4 linked regions of the Saccharomyces cerevisiae S288C genome follow. The protein of the gene in region 1 interacts with the protein of each later gene in a biochemical or structural test. Each region holds a gene or a part of one and is shown on either strand. Other genes may lie near its edges.

Region 1 (5,930 bases):
GATCTGGCTTTTTTGATTAAGCAAATGCCTGCAGAAGAGTTGGACATGACATTCAACAATTGGGTGAACCTAAAAGTGCAATCTATTAAGCGCGAATTTATAGATGACTGTGATAAGAAATTGGACATATTGAGAAGGGATTACTATACTGCCACAAATTTTATTGAAACTTTGGAAGATGACAATCAATTGATCGATATTGCTAAGAAAATGGGCATTTTATAGCTAACTAATTTGATAAACAGGCTAAAGGTTTGTATTTTTTGTAGTTTTGAAACTGTGTATAGAATGTTTCGCCGCATCGCAGATATCTGCAGGGAACTGTTGACATAGCATCTTCTGTGGACGTGACAACGTTACGTATATTCGTTGATACCGCAAGTCTATAGCGTATACATGCTAAGGCAAAAAGTTTCAAAGTGAATGCATTATGTATTTATATGTAAATAAGTAAGAAAAGTGGGATTTTGAAAATAAAGGTGTAGTAGGACAGTAAGTATTCAATGAAATACAATTATAACATATCTTCATCGGGCGTTCCTGATGCTTCATCCATTTGAGAATCAATGGCAGTGTCAGGCATTGATTCGTCAATTGTGTTGTTGTTATTGTTCCTAACCATGTTCTGATTACGAAGTCCCATTTGGAGATTCCTCATCTGGTCAGGTGATATTTGCATTCTATTGCCAAACTGACGCCAGAAATTTGGATTTTCTGTTTCATTGTCATCATTACCATTGTTAGTTTCATTGTTACTTGTATCGTTTGCCCCAGCATCCGATACAATATTCACTATGTTGTTGGCGTTCCGGTTGGCGTCATTGTCATTATTGTTATTCCATGCTGATCTTTGGTGGGCTATTAATAGTTCTCTTTGTCTGGTTAACAATGTTATGTTATCTTTTAAATATAGTCTCAAAACAACGGTGGAGAGCTTGTACTTCTGAACCACCATAATGAATTTGTCAATGAATAAAAGTCGCCATATTAAAAGCCCTTTTTGGTAATCTATGTTGCCCGATTCCTGAACCGTTTTTTGTACTAAACAAATTTGTCTGTTTAATTCAATCATTTGCATATAGGTTTGAGTCATTTCATGAAGTAAAAAACCAGTAAACTGAAACTGAACTCTTACCAAACTAGCAACATTCACCTCGAAATCATCAATATGATCATTTAACTCATGGAATTTTCTAACAATATGACACATTTCACTGTTAATTTCCCGGTTTACACCAGGTGCTACGACATAATCTTGATCATCGTCCACATCACTAAATGGATCTTCACAAAACGTCTTGTTTACTTGCAATAATAGTGAGTTAACTTCCTCCGAGCTCATCCTAATGCCATCAAAAGTATTGAGATACCAACTGAATACTTCATCTATTCGTTCAAAATTGATATTCTGGAAAAGAAAATCGTTATTTAGACCGTTGATTTGATTTAATCCTGTAGCAGCTATAATTGCAGCGGAATCTTGATTTAAATCAGTTATGATTCTCCTAAGAGCATCTTCAAGTGTTTCACCGTTAAATATCAAATTCTTGGATCTAATATATTTTGTCAAAACATCATTTACATCGACATGTGGTCCAAAAGCGGGCGACGTTAAATTTACTAAATAATGGCGAAGTTTATGAACACCTTTCCCTGAAAATACGCAGAATATTTGACGTTGATTTTCACTAAAGTCTGAGGGTGCAGGCCTGCAATACATCGTTATATCGGGGCGTAAAAATGACGGAACAGCAGTCAAAGACAAATGTGAGAGCCTTGGGCAAGACATTAGAAGCTCATATATCGGATATATTGTTAAATTAGAACAGTAAGATAAATGTACCCTTTCTAAAGTATCATTTCGGCCTCGCAAGGAAACCATATTCAACAAACCCTCGTCAGTCATTTGCGTACATTTGACAAGGCCAATTCTCTTTAATTTTGGTAAGTCTGCTAGTTCATAAAGAGTTCTATTGGTTAAATTCGTACAGCACGCAAAGTCCACATACTGTATTCTTGTACATGAATGAAAGAGTGCTCTTACCCCGTTATCAGTTATATTGAAACAGTGCCCAAAATGCACTGTTTGCAAGTTTTTGCCCAGCTTCGATAATTGGAACAACGATGCATCTGTAATTCGGCTACACTTGCCTAGAAAAACATTACGTAATTTAGGGGCTAAATTGACTATACTTTCTATAGTTTTATCTGTAATATTTTCACATCCAGAAAGATCAATCAATCTTAAAGAGGGCATATCGTCAACTACTTTAGAAAGCTCCTGGAAAAGATTATCCGTAATATTCGTATTATGAGTTATTCTGAATTCCCTCAGCTGAACTAACCTAGTGAGGAGTTTTAACAAACTAGAATCAGTGACATTTGGACTTAATGTTATATCGACCTCTACAAGCAAAGGGCATTTGTTGGCTAATAGTTCTACTAATTCGTCATTCATGTTATTGTTTGCTGTGATTTTTATTCTTTTCAACATCGGGGAATGGACTATGAAATTCCGCAGTGAATCGAATGTTACATTCCTTGCCTGAGGAACATAAAAGCCCTGTACTCTGGGACAATATGTCGCTAAGGTATCAAATACGTCATCGGAAACGTCTCTTATTCCAGTGATATCCACACTTTGGAGAAATTTACATCCTCTCAAAACAGCCGATATTGGAACACTGGTTATATGCTTGCAAAATACTAAAGTTAGTCGCTCCAAATTCTTACATCCGACAAAATAGTTAAGCTCTGTATCGTGCATGTAGTCACCAACAAATGAAAAATTTAATCTTTTGATCATTAAACGATAGTTGAATACAGTTTCTTCAGAAGTTAACTTCATAGTCCTTAAAAACAAGTCTAATTGACTCTTTTTGTTGATGTGCGGTCTGTAATAAAGTATCTTCACAATTATTTCAGCCCAGAGTTTGGAAACGGTAAGGAATTTTACAATATCATATTTTTGGTTAAGTTTATCTAATATTAAGTGTAATATTTCCGAGGGTAGCATGTTTAGGGCAAACACAGGTGATCTTCGGGTGACACTCGTACATATGTTTTGATTTGATGGATTCGAAAGCACATTATTTATGAACTGCCTTGAATATCTCGAAAGATCTTGTAGCCCTTCTTTCAAGTCAGATGATTCAGTAGTATCTATGGAGTTTATCCAAATGATGAAATTATCTGTTGGATTTTCCACTTGTTGACCTCTTAGCTTGGAATGGCAGTATGCATATAATGACTTTTTGTACTCTTCTATAATTGTTAATATTTTTAGCCTTAAATTTCTAATTTCCATGTTTTCTGTCTCTAGCGCCCTAAGCCTCATTCTTTGTAATTTATGCAAATAACTAATTGCTTGTGGGGAGTTATCAATACGTAGCTCCTTTAGTTTAAGGTTGTCTAGCTCAATTTCGTTCAGTATTTTTTTTCTACGTTTCTCTATAACAACCAGAAACTCTTGGATTTTTTTGCCCACTATTAGCTTGAATTCGTGGATTTGCTTCCGTTCTTCCTCTGGTAGGTTCGGTAACAATCGATTAAGTTGATCTATTTGAACATTGACACCATTCATAAGGTTTGTGTTCACAGTGTTTATGTCAATCCCGTTCAGCGCATTTGTTTGCTGTTGTGGTTGAAATGTCAGCGAAAAGTTTTGATTTAGCGGTTGTCCGTTGTTGGTTGGCAAAAGCGTTTCCCGTTGAATACTATCGAACCTAAAGATATTATTTAGCGTTGCATCCCTAACCTCACTTGCATTTCTTTCCGAAGTTGCCGTTTCTCTAGTTCGTGATGGCATTTGTGGTCTTGTGCTATTATTATTGTTGTTGTTGTTGTTGTTGTTGTTGTTGTCGTCAAAATCACCGCTACTATTCAGCCACAATTGAGGGCCCAAATTTGGATGTATATCAGGTGGGTGCAGCCTATTGCTGTCATTGTGGTTGTTGTTATCCTGATCCATTATAGACCTTCTTAGTATAAAGGAAACCGCAAAACTGTTTAGCCTCACTACCAATGATAATTATTGTGCCGAAATCAATGAGAAATTTCAAGATTTCACGCAGGTGTAAGCTTAAATGCAATGCCTTAATTTTTGGGCTTCCCTGCTAGTTGGACACAAGTACGATTTTGATATTCAAAAACCGGGCTTCTAAGAGAACGATTAAATGAAAACGAATTATTGTGTAAAATCGAAAAACTGGTGAAGTATGGACAAAAGAAAGTAACACACAGGCACAGTTAAATTTGGTGTTATGTATTTTGCCACGCCTTTTTTGATAATCATATCACTAAATTTGTTAAAAGGCAAATTTTAAAACAAGTTCCTTTACCAAGGAAGGTCCATAGGCGGGTAACCTCAGTAGTAATGAAAGCCTAGTAATGATGACTATAAATGTTCATTAACACATCTGGGTAATAAATGATGATATTTTTAAAAACTGTATAAAACTTTATGGATTTATTTAATCATGATTAGGTGTAGAAAAAAAATTTGGCGATATGATGGCTTGAAAAAGACACGTCTTCCCAGTAATGAAAATGCCCAAATTCTTCATTAGCTCGCTCATATTCTATTAGGATTTGAACCATAAAACCGTTGGGGGTAAATGAGATAGTTTTGAATGGATGCAGGTATGAGAAGAAAACGGCGTGGTCTCCCAATGATGACGGAAATAAAAGAAAACATGGGGACGTCAGTTTGCAGAGTGTAAAGTCAGAGTTTCAAAAACGGTGTTATCGTCGTTATAGTTCGTGTTGTTATTATTGTTGTTGTTGTTCGTATGAGGTTGTGAGGAGCCAACATTGTTTACTAATTCCATAGTAGTGTTGTTATGGTTAGTTAGGCTCAGTTGTGGCAACGATAAACGGGTTCCGTTATTAAAGTTTAGCATATCAAACTGGGAACTTAAGTCATCGTTGTTCATAGCATATCCATTACTGGCGTTGCCTGAAAAGCCGCTGACAGGGAAGACGCCAGGATAACTAAAATAGCCCATTGAAGAATTAGAATTGGCATTCAATGGTTGGCCCGGGGATAATGTAGAGGCAGAAGAACCATTTGTAGTCGTGGTGTTCATTGTGGTATGTTTAGATCCACCACTTTTAACGCTAGAAACAGAAAGACCTCTCATGTGTTGTCCAGAAGTATCAGGAGTGGCGAACATGTGCGAAATGCTGCTGTTATGATGCTGCTGCTGTTGTTGTTTTGTCTTGTTATGAGTACTAGAGGGTGATGCCAACCCGACTTCTTCCAATAAACGGCGGCTTGGTTGGATTTGAGTAGAATCCGTCAATACTTTTCTGACTTGTTTAATGATGTGGGCTCTTAAGTCATCTTCTAATAATGGCATTGCTAAAACTTTATGGACAAAGGTTGGGCCATAATTTGTTTCACATAAAAGCTTTGTTAATTCCTTTGGTGGCGAAGAATCGTGTGCGTTCACGTTTCCAAATAGGGAATCTAGGATGATTTTTCTAGCGTTATCATCCCCTCTGTAATTCAAGACCTTCAAAATAGTCAAAGAAGCCAATCTGTGGCCACATAACTCTACAATTCTTTTCGTCAATCTTGGTGCCAAGATAGAATGTCTGTTGGGTAAAACACTAGTATCTAAAAACCACGTTACTAACAACGCACCATTGCTATTAGTGCTTAGATATTCAGCATATGTAACGATCATTGCACTCAAAACTATTGATTGTTCAGGAGTTACAATGTCATGTGCCTCTAAACAAGCTCTGACTGCCCTTGCACCATATCTATTCTGAACAATAACCCAAAAATTAGCTATTATACTTTCAAAAATAAACTGGTTCCAGGGGAATCCAAATTTCAAAACGCACTGTATGACATAATTTCCGAATTGGTCATTGATTAATGGAGTACAGTAGTCCTTGACCCCTTGCGTCACTTGCATGAT
Region 2 (3,997 bases), on another chromosome or scaffold:
CAACAGGAATTATACACACGACAAAATCTGGCCACTTCAATTGAAGAAATCAAAGGATACACCCGATGCTTTGCGTATGCCAATGAACGACAAATGCCTGATGAATTCCATATCAACTATGTGGATCGGTGCATTTGCGAGAATAGTGGAGAAAAACGGGTACAAGTATTTGATAGAGTAGTTCTCGAAGAAATCCATAAGGATCACAAACGCTTATATAACGAATGCATTCCGTTCCTGGAAAAATACATCAGCAAGTTAATTAACTGCAGCATTATAGTGGTTTCGCAGCAACCCACAGCACCAATGAAAAAGACTTTGCTAAAACAGTTAATTGAGCAGTACGGTGAGAATTATAAGATGACATTGAACATTTTGCATCTTGACGGAAGTATTAAACACAGTGACGTTGGATTAGATAACCCAACAGAAATTAGAGATCTGTCACAAGATGAAGAATGCATGAACATTTTAACTTTAGATACCAAGTTGGGAAAAGATGAAGAGTCCCATTCAATGAATATATATATCGGTAGTATGTCCACGGTACAGCTGAATAGAGAGCTTGATGATGCTCCCTCAGTCCTTTCGCATATTCTCACTAAAACAAAGCAGTGCTTTGTCTTCAAGATTAACGCTGGTGAAAACATCGAGAAGGCTCTAGCCTTAGCGGGAAAGCTGAAAAGAACAATAACATTACCTCAGCTAGATTAAGAAGGCCAGATCTTGTGCGCTACAATCACTTCGTCTCGTTCCCTTACATAAAAAACTTACGTAGCTACATTGTCGTGCGTGGCATCAACCTAATTATCCTAGCAAAATAAAAGAGAATGTTACGGGACTAACAGGCGGATGTAAATTACTCACTTAAACGCAGCCAAACATCATCGAGAACTTAGGGTAGCGTGCCACAAAATTTGCATGAATAAACTTTTGTTTTCCTAATTCGACAGCATTCCCTTGTTCGCAACACTTCACTGATAGGAAATCGAATAGCGCACACTCTCTTCTGGGACATACCCCAATGCGGTAAAGCCACGAAAACACCGCGCGTAAAGGGGTAAACAAGTCCATTCCTACAACCTCTTGGAGAAATTCTTTACCTACTACAACCCCGCGCCTGATACTTTCAGTATTCATGACAACTCGAGCCAGATCCCGCTCGTGGGCGTGTTCATTCTGTGACGATCCACTAGCGACTTCTTTGTTCAGCCTGCAAGAGACGCGTTCAAGGAAGAATTCGCGATTTTACTTCTTCGAGGGAATCTCGCACCGCGTTAGTTAGTTTCCAACCTTGAAAGCATCGGAGACGCATTTTTGGCGATTTTGCTGGATTGAGCTGAATGGTGCCAGGTCGAGGCTGGGAGGGAGACTAACTCGAAAGTGACGAAGACTCGAAAATTAAAAAAAAAGATACTGCAGAAGGCAAGATTGAGAATGGAGTAAAGGCAGCGTGGGTCCCCTGTGGAAACCGCAGTTTTCCTGCGCCAAGTGGTACCGGTGCGAGTGCAGCAATTAATCTCTCGATATTTTCTTAGTATCTCTTTTTATATAAGAATATATTTTGGAATTGGTAATGCTTATCTTCAATAGTTTCTTAGTTGAATGCACACTTAAGAGCAAATTGGCCAAGGAGTTCTTCGTTCGCTTTAATTTATTTCCTGGTTATTGTCAATTTATTCATCCCATCTCCCCAGGATAGAAGAAATTAGTGTAATTTTGCTGACAATACATTTTAACGACGATAACAATAATAGCAATTAAATAAAATAGCACTACCACCACTCCACTGCTCGTTAGCTATTTCTGTAAAATAAATAAAAAGATCATGAACCACTCAGAAGTGAAAACTGGGTTAATTGTCACTGCAAAGCAGACATATTACCCAATTGAATTGTCCAATGCAGAACTACTAACTCATTACGAAACCATACAGGAATATCACGAGGAAATCTCTCAAAATGTGCTGGTCCAATCTTCCAAGACAAAACCAGACATAAAATTGATCGATCAGCAACCGGAGATGAATCCTCATCAAACTAGAGAAGCCATAGTAACATTTTTGTATCAACTTTCAGTGATGACTAGAGTAAGTAATGGTATCTTCTTCCACGCTGTCAGGTTCTACGATCGCTATTGCTCTAAGAGAGTAGTGTTAAAGGACCAAGCTAAACTAGTTGTAGGCACCTGCCTTTGGTTAGCGGCCAAAACTTGGGGAGGGTGCAACCATATTATAAACAACGTCTCCATCCCCACAGGTGGTAGGTTTTATGGTCCCAATCCTAGAGCTCGTATTCCACGCCTTTCTGAATTGGTTCATTATTGCGGCGGGTCCGATTTATTCGATGAATCAATGTTCATTCAAATGGAAAGACATATCTTGGATACTCTGAACTGGGACGTTTATGAGCCCATGATTAATGACTACATTTTAAACGTTGACGAAAATTGTTTGATACAATATGAACTTTACAAAAACCAGTTACAAAATAACAATAGCAACGGCAAAGAATGGTCCTGTAAGAGAAAGTCACAATCTTCTGACGACAGTGATGCCACAGTGGAAGAACATATCAGTAGTTCACCGCAAAGTACTGGACTAGATGGCGATACAACTACCATGGATGAAGATGAAGAACTAAATTCCAAAATTAAATTGATAAATTTGAAAAGATTCTTAATTGATCTGAGCTGTTGGCAATACAACTTGCTTAAATTCGAATTATACGAAATATGCAATGGTATGTTTTCTATAATAAACAAATTCACTAATCAAGATCAAGGCCCTTTTCTCTCTATGCCCATTGGTAATGATATAAACTCAAACACTCAAACGCAGGTATTCAGCATTATCATCAATGGCATAGTCAATTCTCCCCCATCTTTAGTCGAAGTTTATAAGGAGCAATATGGTATAGTACCTTTCATATTACAAGTAAAAGATTATAACTTGGAATTACAAAAGAAACTGCAACTGGCCTCTACAATAGACCTAACCAGAAAAATTGCTGTCAATTCTCGTTACTTTGACCAAAATGCCTCTTCATCATCAGTTTCTTCTCCAAGCACATATTCTTCGGGAACCAATTATACTCCAATGCGAAACTTCAGTGCACAATCAGACAACAGTGTTTTCAGTACTACCAACATTGACCATTCATCGCCGATCACCCCTCACATGTACACTTTTAATCAGTTTAAAAACGAAAGTGCTTGTGACAGTGCCATAAGCGTAAGCAGTCTACCTAATCAAACCCAAAATGGTAACATGCCATTATCAAGCAATTATCAGAATATGATGCTAGAAGAAAGGAATAAAGAGAATAGAATTCCCAACTCATCATCCGCTGAAATACCACAACGTGCCAAATTTATGACGACTGGTATATTCCAGAACACAGGAGAACTTACTAATAGAGCGTCTTCGATATCGCTATCGTTAAGGAACCACAATAGCTCTCAACTGTGACCATTTTCTCATCAAGCCTACATATATACTTAATTAATAACGGAATACTACGCTTTTCCATCGTAAGTAATAATGACATTCATACTTGACATTTTAATACCAGATAATTTTAATGCCCACCTACAAACATCTAGCCTCAATATTCTTCACCTGAAACCAGCTGAATAGTAATATACCAATATTCTTTCAACGATTGATATAATTATCATCATGAACGGAAAAGATGACGCGATTTTCCAGTATTTTTTTCTTCCTTTCGTTCTAACGTTTGCGGTAAGCAAAGGAGAGTAGTAATTAGCAAACAGTTATAAATAGAAAGCCTCTCTAAGATTATAGATATATAGTCATACTAAAGCTTGAGATCTCATCTTTTTCGAGAACCTACCGGCATATTAAACTGAAGTAAGACATCATTCTGAGGAAAGGATCGGTATTATAACCATTATTATTTGTTGCACTTTATTACTATGTGGTCGAAAAAGTTTACATTAAAAAAGCTAATCTTAGGCGGGTATTTGTTTGCTCAAA
Region 3 (4,314 bases), on another chromosome or scaffold:
AATCATACAGAAGAATCCAAGCGAAAGTTTCAAGAGATATGCCAGGCATACGAAATACTTAAAGACAATCGTTTAAGAGCTTTGTATGACCAGTACGGTACCACAGATGAAGTCCTGATTCAAGAGCAGCAGGCGCAGGCGCAACGCCAACAAGCCGGGCCGTTCAGTTCATCCTCAAATTTCGATACGGAAGCAATGTCATTCCCGGATCTATCTCCAGGTGATCTTTTCGCGCAGTTTTTTAATAGTTCTGCTACCCCCTCTTCTAATGGCTCCAAAAGCAGTTTTAATTTTAGCTTCAATAATAGCTCTACGCCGAGCTTCTCCTTTGTTAATGGCAGTGGCGTGAACAATCTGTACTCCTCGTCAGCAAAATACAACTCCAACGATGAGGACCATCATTTGGATAGAGGCCCTGATATCAAACATAATCTAAAGTGCACATTGAAGGAACTCTACATGGGTAAGACTGCAAAGTTGGGTTTGAATAGGACAAGGATTTGCAGTGTTTGTGATGGGCACGGTGGTCTAAAGAAATGCACTTGTAAAACATGCAAAGGGCAAGGTATTCAAACCCAAACTAGGCGTATGGGACCTCTAGTACAAAGTTGGTCTCAAACTTGTGCAGATTGCGGGGGTGCCGGGGTTTTTGTCAAAAATAAAGATATTTGCCAACAGTGCCAAGGTCTTGGCTTCATTAAGGAGAGGAAGATTCTACAAGTCACCGTTCAACCGGGATCGTGTCATAACCAACTTATAGTACTTACGGGCGAAGGTGACGAAGTTATTAGTACTAAGGGAGGCGGTCACGAAAAGGTAATACCTGGTGACGTCGTTATCACCATTTTACGTTTAAAAGATCCGAATTTCCAGGTTATCAACTACTCCAATTTGATATGTAAGAAGTGCAAAATCGACTTCATGACCAGTTTATGTGGAGGCGTAGTTTATATTGAAGGGCACCCTAGCGGTAAGTTGATCAAACTTGATATTATACCTGGCGAGATACTGAAGCCTGGTTGTTTCAAGACTGTTGAGGACATGGGGATGCCCAAGTTTATCAACGGTGTTCGGAGCGGTTTCGGTCATCTATATGTCAAATTCGATGTGACGTATCCAGAGAGACTGGAACCTGAAAATGCTAAGAAAATACAAAATATTCTGGCTAATGATAAATACATTAAAGCAGAACGTTCCACCATGGAAACCGCAGATTCAGACTGCTATTGCGATTTGGAGAAGTCATATGACAGTGTGGAAGAGCATGTGTTAAGTAGCTTTGAGGCCCCTAATTTAAACAATGAAGTTATTGAAGACGACGACCTTGGTGATTTGATTAATGAAAGAGATTCTCGGAAAAGGAACAACCGTCGATTCGACGAAAGTAATATTAATAATAATAATGAAACGAAACGAAATAAATATTCTTCACCGGTAAGCGGTTTTTATGACCATGATATTAATGGATATTGAAGGTTATATAGTCATGCAGTAATGTTATACATTTTCTATTTTTATTTTTTGTATCAGTACTCTATCTATAAGGACATTCCTTTTTTTAAGCAATGCGGAAAGATACGCTATTCTTCCTGTGGATGGTTTACCGCGGTTTGGGTGGTAATATCATTGCAGCCCTAGTCCTTTAGCAGTTTTTTTAGCGTGTAATACATTGTTATTCATCTTTTTCTTAGTGCCTGCCAAGAGATCGTGGGAGGTTACTTAACAGAAAAGCAAAAAAAAAAACCGATTAGAATGTGCATGCCGTTGTTACAGAGAAGCAAGGGAAGTTCACCACTGATCATATTTCTAAGTTCATCAAAATATCGTTTTGGTTTCAGCAGTAGGGATCTTTAACCCAAGTGTTCATTTTCTTTCCTTTTTGCTTTTTATTTGAATGATCTGAACAAAAGGAGAAACATATACTGTACTATTGCGTGAAAACGAACAGAGCACAACCCTCAAGAAAAAAGAGAACTACCCCTTAGTTCCATCTCATTTACTTAAGCAACACTTCCTAATTATTCTCTAATCCTAATAAAAAAAAAGAACTGATGTCGCGGGAGGCATTTGATGTACCGAATATAGGTACTAACAAGTTTTTAAAAGTCACACCTAATTTATTTACCCCAGAGCGATTGAATTTATTTGATGATGTCGAACTATATCTTACGTTAATAAAAGCATCCAAATGTGTCGAGCAGGGAGAAAGGCTGCACAATATAAGTTGGAGAATTCTGAATAAAGCTGTTCTAAAGGAGCATAATATTAATCGATCTAAAAAAAGAGACGGCGTGAAGAACATATATTATGTGTTAAATCCAAACAACAAACAGCCAATAAAGCCAAAGCAGGCAGCAGTAAAGCAGCCACCATTACAAAAGGCCAATTTGCCTCCCACAACGGCAAAACAGAACGTTTTAACTCGGCCAATGACATCACCAGCTATCGCACAGGGTGCTCACGATAGATCCTTGGATAATCCTAATTCTACAAACAATGATGTGAAAAATGACGTTGCTCCAAACAGACAATTCTCCAAATCTACTACGTCAGGGTTGTTTTCAAATTTTGCAGACAAATATCAAAAAATGAAAAATGTGAACCATGTTGCTAATAAGGAAGAACCACAAACTATTATCACTGGTTTTGATACAAGCACTGTTATAACCAAGAAACCTTTACAATCAAGACGCTCAAGATCACCTTTCCAGCATATAGGAGACATGAACATGAACTGCATTGATAATGAGACTTCCAAGAGTACCAGTCCTACTCTTGAAAATATGGGAAGTAGAAAATCCTCTTTTCCTCAGAAGGAATCTTTATTCGGAAGGCCAAGGTCTTACAAGAATGACCAAAATGGTCAACTGTCACTTTCGAAAACATCCTCTAGAAAAGGAAAAAACAAGATATTTTTCAGCAGTGAAGATGAAGATTCCGATTGGGACAGCGTTTCGAATGATTCAGAATTCTACGCTGATGAAGATGATGAAGAGTACGATGATTATAATGAGGAAGAAGCAGATCAGTACTATAGAAGACAATGGGACAAGCTTTTATTTGCCAAAAATCAACAGAATCTTGACTCAACGAAATCATCTGTTTCATCAGCGAACACAATCAACTCAAACACATCCCATGATCCCGTACGAAAAAGTTTACTCAGTGGACTATTCCTTAGTGAGGCAAATAGCAACAGTAATAACCACAATACTGCACATAGTGAATACGCTTCTAAACACGTTTCGCCGACTCCTCAGTCCTCTCATAGTAATATCGGTCCTCAACCGCAGCAAAATCCACCGAGCGCTAATGGTATAAAACAACAAAAACCTTCTTTGAAAACAAGCAACGTGACAGCTCTAGCATCGCTATCTCCCCCGCAACCATCCAACAATGAGCGGTTATCGATGGATATACAAAAGGACTTCAAAACTGATAATGAGTCCAATCATTTATATGAATCTAATGCTCCGCTAACTGCTCAAACTATACTGCCCACCGCCTTATCTACTCACATGTTTTTGCCAAATAACATTCACCAACAACGAATGGCGATTGCCACTGGTAGTAATACGCGACATCGTTTTTCGAGGCGGCAGTCGATGGATATCCCATCCAAGAACAGGAATACTGGGTTTTTGAAGACCAGAATGGAGATCTCTGAGGAAGAAAAGATGGTACGTACAATATCACGGCTTGACAATACGAGTATTGCAAACAGTAATGGAAATGGTAATGATGACACCTCTAATCAGAGAACGGAAGCACTGGGGCGTAAGACGAGTAATGGAGGGCGAATATGATTACTAAGTTAAATAAATCAGATACAGTATTTAAAGTTCTTTCAAAAAAAGATAATGTCATATATTTTACTATCTACGCAGTGAAAGAGTTCCTTCTAATGACACACTATTCACTTCGGGTAACGGATATTGTGTACTGAAAAATATAAAAAATTTTATCCCGGAAATGCGATGAGATGAAAATGCATGAAGTAGCGTATATATTGATTGCATGAGGTTGGACTTGAAAGGGCATATATACTCGGTTTTATCATTGATTCAAGTGTTCCCATAAATAATAAAACAGTTAAATCGAAATGCTAAGAAGACAAGCCCGTGAAAGGAGAGAATATCTATACAGAAAAGCGCAAGAATTACAAGATTCTCAACTGCAACAAAAACGTCAAATAATTAAACAAGCGCTAGCTCAGGGGAAGCCATTGCCAAAGGAACTAGCAGAAGATGAGAGTTTACAAAAGGATTTCAGATATGACCAAAGTTTAAAGGAGAGCGAAGAAGCAGATGATCT
Region 4 (3,191 bases), on another chromosome or scaffold:
TAATGAATAGAAAAGGCCGTAATAAGATAATAAAATAAAATAAATGAGAAAAGTTTGAGAAGAGTTCGTTCGTATAAATCATTAAGGTGTATGTGTTTGTTGAAATAAAAAAAATTGATTTTTTTTTATTTTTTCGGTTTTGGCATACATATCCGTCCGTAGCTGAAACGGAATTTCGTCATGTCTTGTGCTTTCTTGGCTATGAACCACGCGTCATTAATGTGTATAAAGGAGGAATAAAATTAGAATTTTTTTTGAATAATACGAAATAGAAAAGAAAAAGGTATGAAAAGTGCGCATCACGATTTATCATCCTTCTTTAGTGGGGATTTTTTTTTTTTATCTTTTTGTATGTTTTTTCCAACTTCTTTTTTTTTTTTGTATTCTTGTCTGCTATGTTATGGCCTTGTTATTTTTTGGGCTTGTTTTTTAAAGTACTTCGCTAAGAAAGAAAAAAATGTCGCATAAACAAAAGAGGAGAAAGGAATTTCTATCGTAATTTTATAATATTGGTGTTTAAGCAAGCGTGCTTTTATTTTTGGTCTTGTTTCAAAGTGTCGATTTCACTTTTCAACCTTTGAACTTCCATTTCGTATAGTCGTTCGTTATTTTGTAGATATAGAATATAGTCAACAGCTTTTTCTAGGATCATGCTTTTATTTAGCTTCGTGCTTGTAGCAGCGGCAGATGGAAGAGGAGTAGTAGCGGCAGTTTCTGCGCCGTCTTCGTCCTGTTTTTTTACAGAATCACCTACTTCGAAAGCTGTTTGTTCACTTGCTACCCATGGGATAATCTGCTGCAGTCTTGCAATCTTTGTGTTGATGTTTATTCTGTAGCGTTTTTCAATCTTGTTGTGAGCTTGCTTTTGGAAGGGGGTCAGTCTTTTTCTTGGAGCCCTCTTTTTCGTTTCCTTAGCATCTAGATTTGTTTTTATAAACGAGTCGTTTAGCTCGATTTCATTCTTAAGTGGGGTACTATCGTCATTATTATCAGTATTTATCATGTTAGGCATTAATTGCAAAGAAGCCGGTTCAAAATCTGCCAACGAAAGGGCATTGTCATCCTCTTCTCTTTTTATCGAGCTGCTAACCTCGGGAGAATGCGAGTATGAGGAAGGATTACTGAAAAACTGATCTGTTGGAAAAAGAGCAGATTCCTCGTTGTTGGAAGATATAAACTGGTCTTCGATTGGAGAGCCTATCGAGGAGCTGGATGCAGAGGAGATAATGTTTTCCAATGGTTCGAACCATGTGGAAGAAGATGCAGAAAGAACTGACGAGGAGTCCTTGTTGACGTTGATATGACTAGCTCCGTCATTTTCATCCGACAACCAATTATCAAATTCAGATTCAGGTTTAATTAAAGTAGTTTCGCTAGATCTAACATTTCTGTCTAAAATAGAGTTCATAATTGTTAAACTTGAAGAGATTTGATAGTGTGTTATTTGTCTTTATTTTTATTTTTGCACTAAAAGTTTATGAAGTGAACAAAAAAAAAAAATAATAGTAAAGTAGAGAGACTTTAGATCGGTACTGCTTGTGGTGCTTTACGCTTAATAAGAAAGAAAATGAGAAAAGAGAGAAATATGTAAAGAATAAAGGTTGATGGTTGGGAAATATAAAATAAGGATGTAATTAAGATAGCTTTACTTTCCCATGAATTGATATATGAAGTGAAAAAGGATGTAAATAAGTTTAAATTTTGGAGATAACAAAAGAAGTTTATATAAGTACATTTGATTGTTGAGGTGAGAAAAAAAAAGGAAACAGAGGTGAAAAAAATTAATAGCAAACGTTGCGTTTTGCATTTCTACTAAGAATGGAAATGTCGCAGACACGGTATCATCTACACTGTGAAAAAGAAATGAAAATGAGAATTGTTATTTGGCGAACTGTGAACGTGCGCAGGGCAGAATCCCATTGTACGGTTCGTACGTGGGCACAATGAATTACTACTAGGGTAAGAAATGACCGCAGCAGCATGAACATTCTAGAACAAAATTTGATTCCTTACCGAATGGAGAGAGGCCACGTTGTTAGGGGAGTAACAGCGCAATGAAGTGAGCTCAATCCCACTCCAGAAGGGCTTGTGTACGGCCGGAACTGGGCTAAGCAGTATCCGCGGGTGAAAGTCAAGGTCAGCTTGTTCCGGTTTCAAAAGGAAGATTTTCCGGGATACCTCTGGGTGTAACATTCAGATGCGTGCGTCATTTATTCTCTACCCATGTGGTGCCTGCCAGATCCGGTAAGTACCGCCCAGCATAGCGTATACACAAGGATGAATGGGTTCTACGACACCGCGGTTTAAGGAAGTTGCCGCATTTGGCATGGTGTGGTGATGTCTCTTTTCCTAAACCAGACTGAGACAGGTTTATTTCACCGATTTTTTTTTGCTTTGGCATAATAGAATGTCCAAGAAGGGTATTTTACTATCTTACACGTGTTTGTAACATAAACGACAATTTTGTAGCACAACTAGGGCATGTCAGTCTGAGTCGTATTAGCGCCCTCCCCCTTACTTCAACAGTATCGTAGGATTGGCATTGCATATACGCCGATTTTAGCGTTGTTAATTGATCATTGCTGGCTTGCCACGTGATGGCAATAGGCTTTCTCTCGTGCTCGACCCCTAATGTCAGTTCAAGCAGGGAACGTGCCAAACATGGCTAGTGCATTTTTTACGTAAGCCGCAAAGAGGTTCCTCTTTTCTTAGTGTTTCGCCCTACTGATAAGAATGTGAAAAAGTAAACGATAAGATTAATATAATTAAAAAATGTTTCAATTCTAGACATCGTACCCACAAAGGCTGCCCATATCATATCGTAATACAGATCCGCTTTTCAGATTACATCCGATTTTCAGACTGAAAAGCAGCATAGCGGCAGTATGATGAATACAAGCGCGCTTATCTGTCGCTCTTCTTACTTGGAAAGGGAATCATATTACCCGGCAGGGCGCTGACGGGAGCCGCATTAAATAAGCATACGAAAATCATCAAGGTTATCGGCATTTAATTTTTTAGAGGCTTCTTTATATCCCATAGTTAGATTATTCAATCAAAAGGTTGTAAATGCCTATTAAGTTGCCTCTTGTCATGGTCCCATATTCCCTGAGGCATTCCTGCCAAGAATAATGGATTTCTTTCATGCATAATTATTGAGTATTTGAATCATCTACATCGCACCCAAAGAA

Evidence for each region.
Region 2: the proteins of GRR1 (region 1) and CLN1 form a complex in vitro, tested with the Saccharomyces cerevisiae proteins (2 studies listed by BioGRID, with this or other methods).
Region 3: the proteins of GRR1 (region 1) and MKS1 form a complex in vitro, tested with the Saccharomyces cerevisiae proteins (one study listed by BioGRID).
Region 4: the proteins of GRR1 (region 1) and TYE7 form a complex in vitro, tested with the Saccharomyces cerevisiae proteins (one study listed by BioGRID).

What each region holds. Positions count from the first base shown.
Region 1 is NC_001142.9:590,358-596,287, forward strand, and holds GRR1 (SCF ubiquitin ligase complex subunit GRR1), read right to left. Parts: upstream 3,971-5,930; coding exon 515-3,970; downstream 1-514. Other genes in the region: BIR1 (survivin), read left to right, coding at 1-225; JSN1 (Jsn1p), read right to left, coding at 4,704-5,930. UniProt on the Saccharomyces cerevisiae protein: Substrate recognition component of a SCF (SKP1-CUL1-F-box protein) E3 ubiquitin-protein ligase complex which mediates the ubiquitination and subsequent proteasomal degradation of target proteins.
Region 2 is NC_001145.3:660,816-664,812, forward strand, and holds CLN1 (cyclin CLN1), read left to right. Parts: upstream 1-1,828; coding exon 1,829-3,469; downstream 3,470-3,997. Other genes in the region: CIK1 (Cik1p), read left to right, coding at 1-714; ROT1 (Rot1p), read left to right, coding at 3,937-3,997. UniProt on the Saccharomyces cerevisiae protein: Essential for the control of the cell cycle at the G1/S (start) transition. Interacts with the CDC28 protein kinase to form MPF.
Region 3 is NC_001146.8:481,505-485,818, forward strand, and holds MKS1 (Mks1p), read left to right. Parts: upstream 1-2,051; coding exon 2,052-3,806; downstream 3,807-4,314. Other genes in the region: APJ1 (Apj1p), read left to right, coding at 1-1,473; snoRNA-binding rRNA-processing protein IMP4, read left to right, coding at 4,103-4,314. UniProt on the Saccharomyces cerevisiae protein: Negative regulator of Ras-cAMP pathway. Involved in transcriptional regulation of galactose-inducible genes.
Region 4 is NC_001147.6:976,662-979,852, forward strand, and holds TYE7 (Tye7p), read right to left. Parts: upstream 1,409-3,191; coding exon 533-1,408; downstream 1-532. UniProt on the Saccharomyces cerevisiae protein: Transcriptional activator of glycolytic gene expression, such as enolase genes (ENO1 and ENO2), glyceraldehyde-3-phosphate dehydrogenase gene (TDH), phosphoglycerate kinase (PGK1), phosphoglycerate mutase (PGM1), pyruvate kinase (PYK1) and triosephosphate isomerase (TPI1) genes.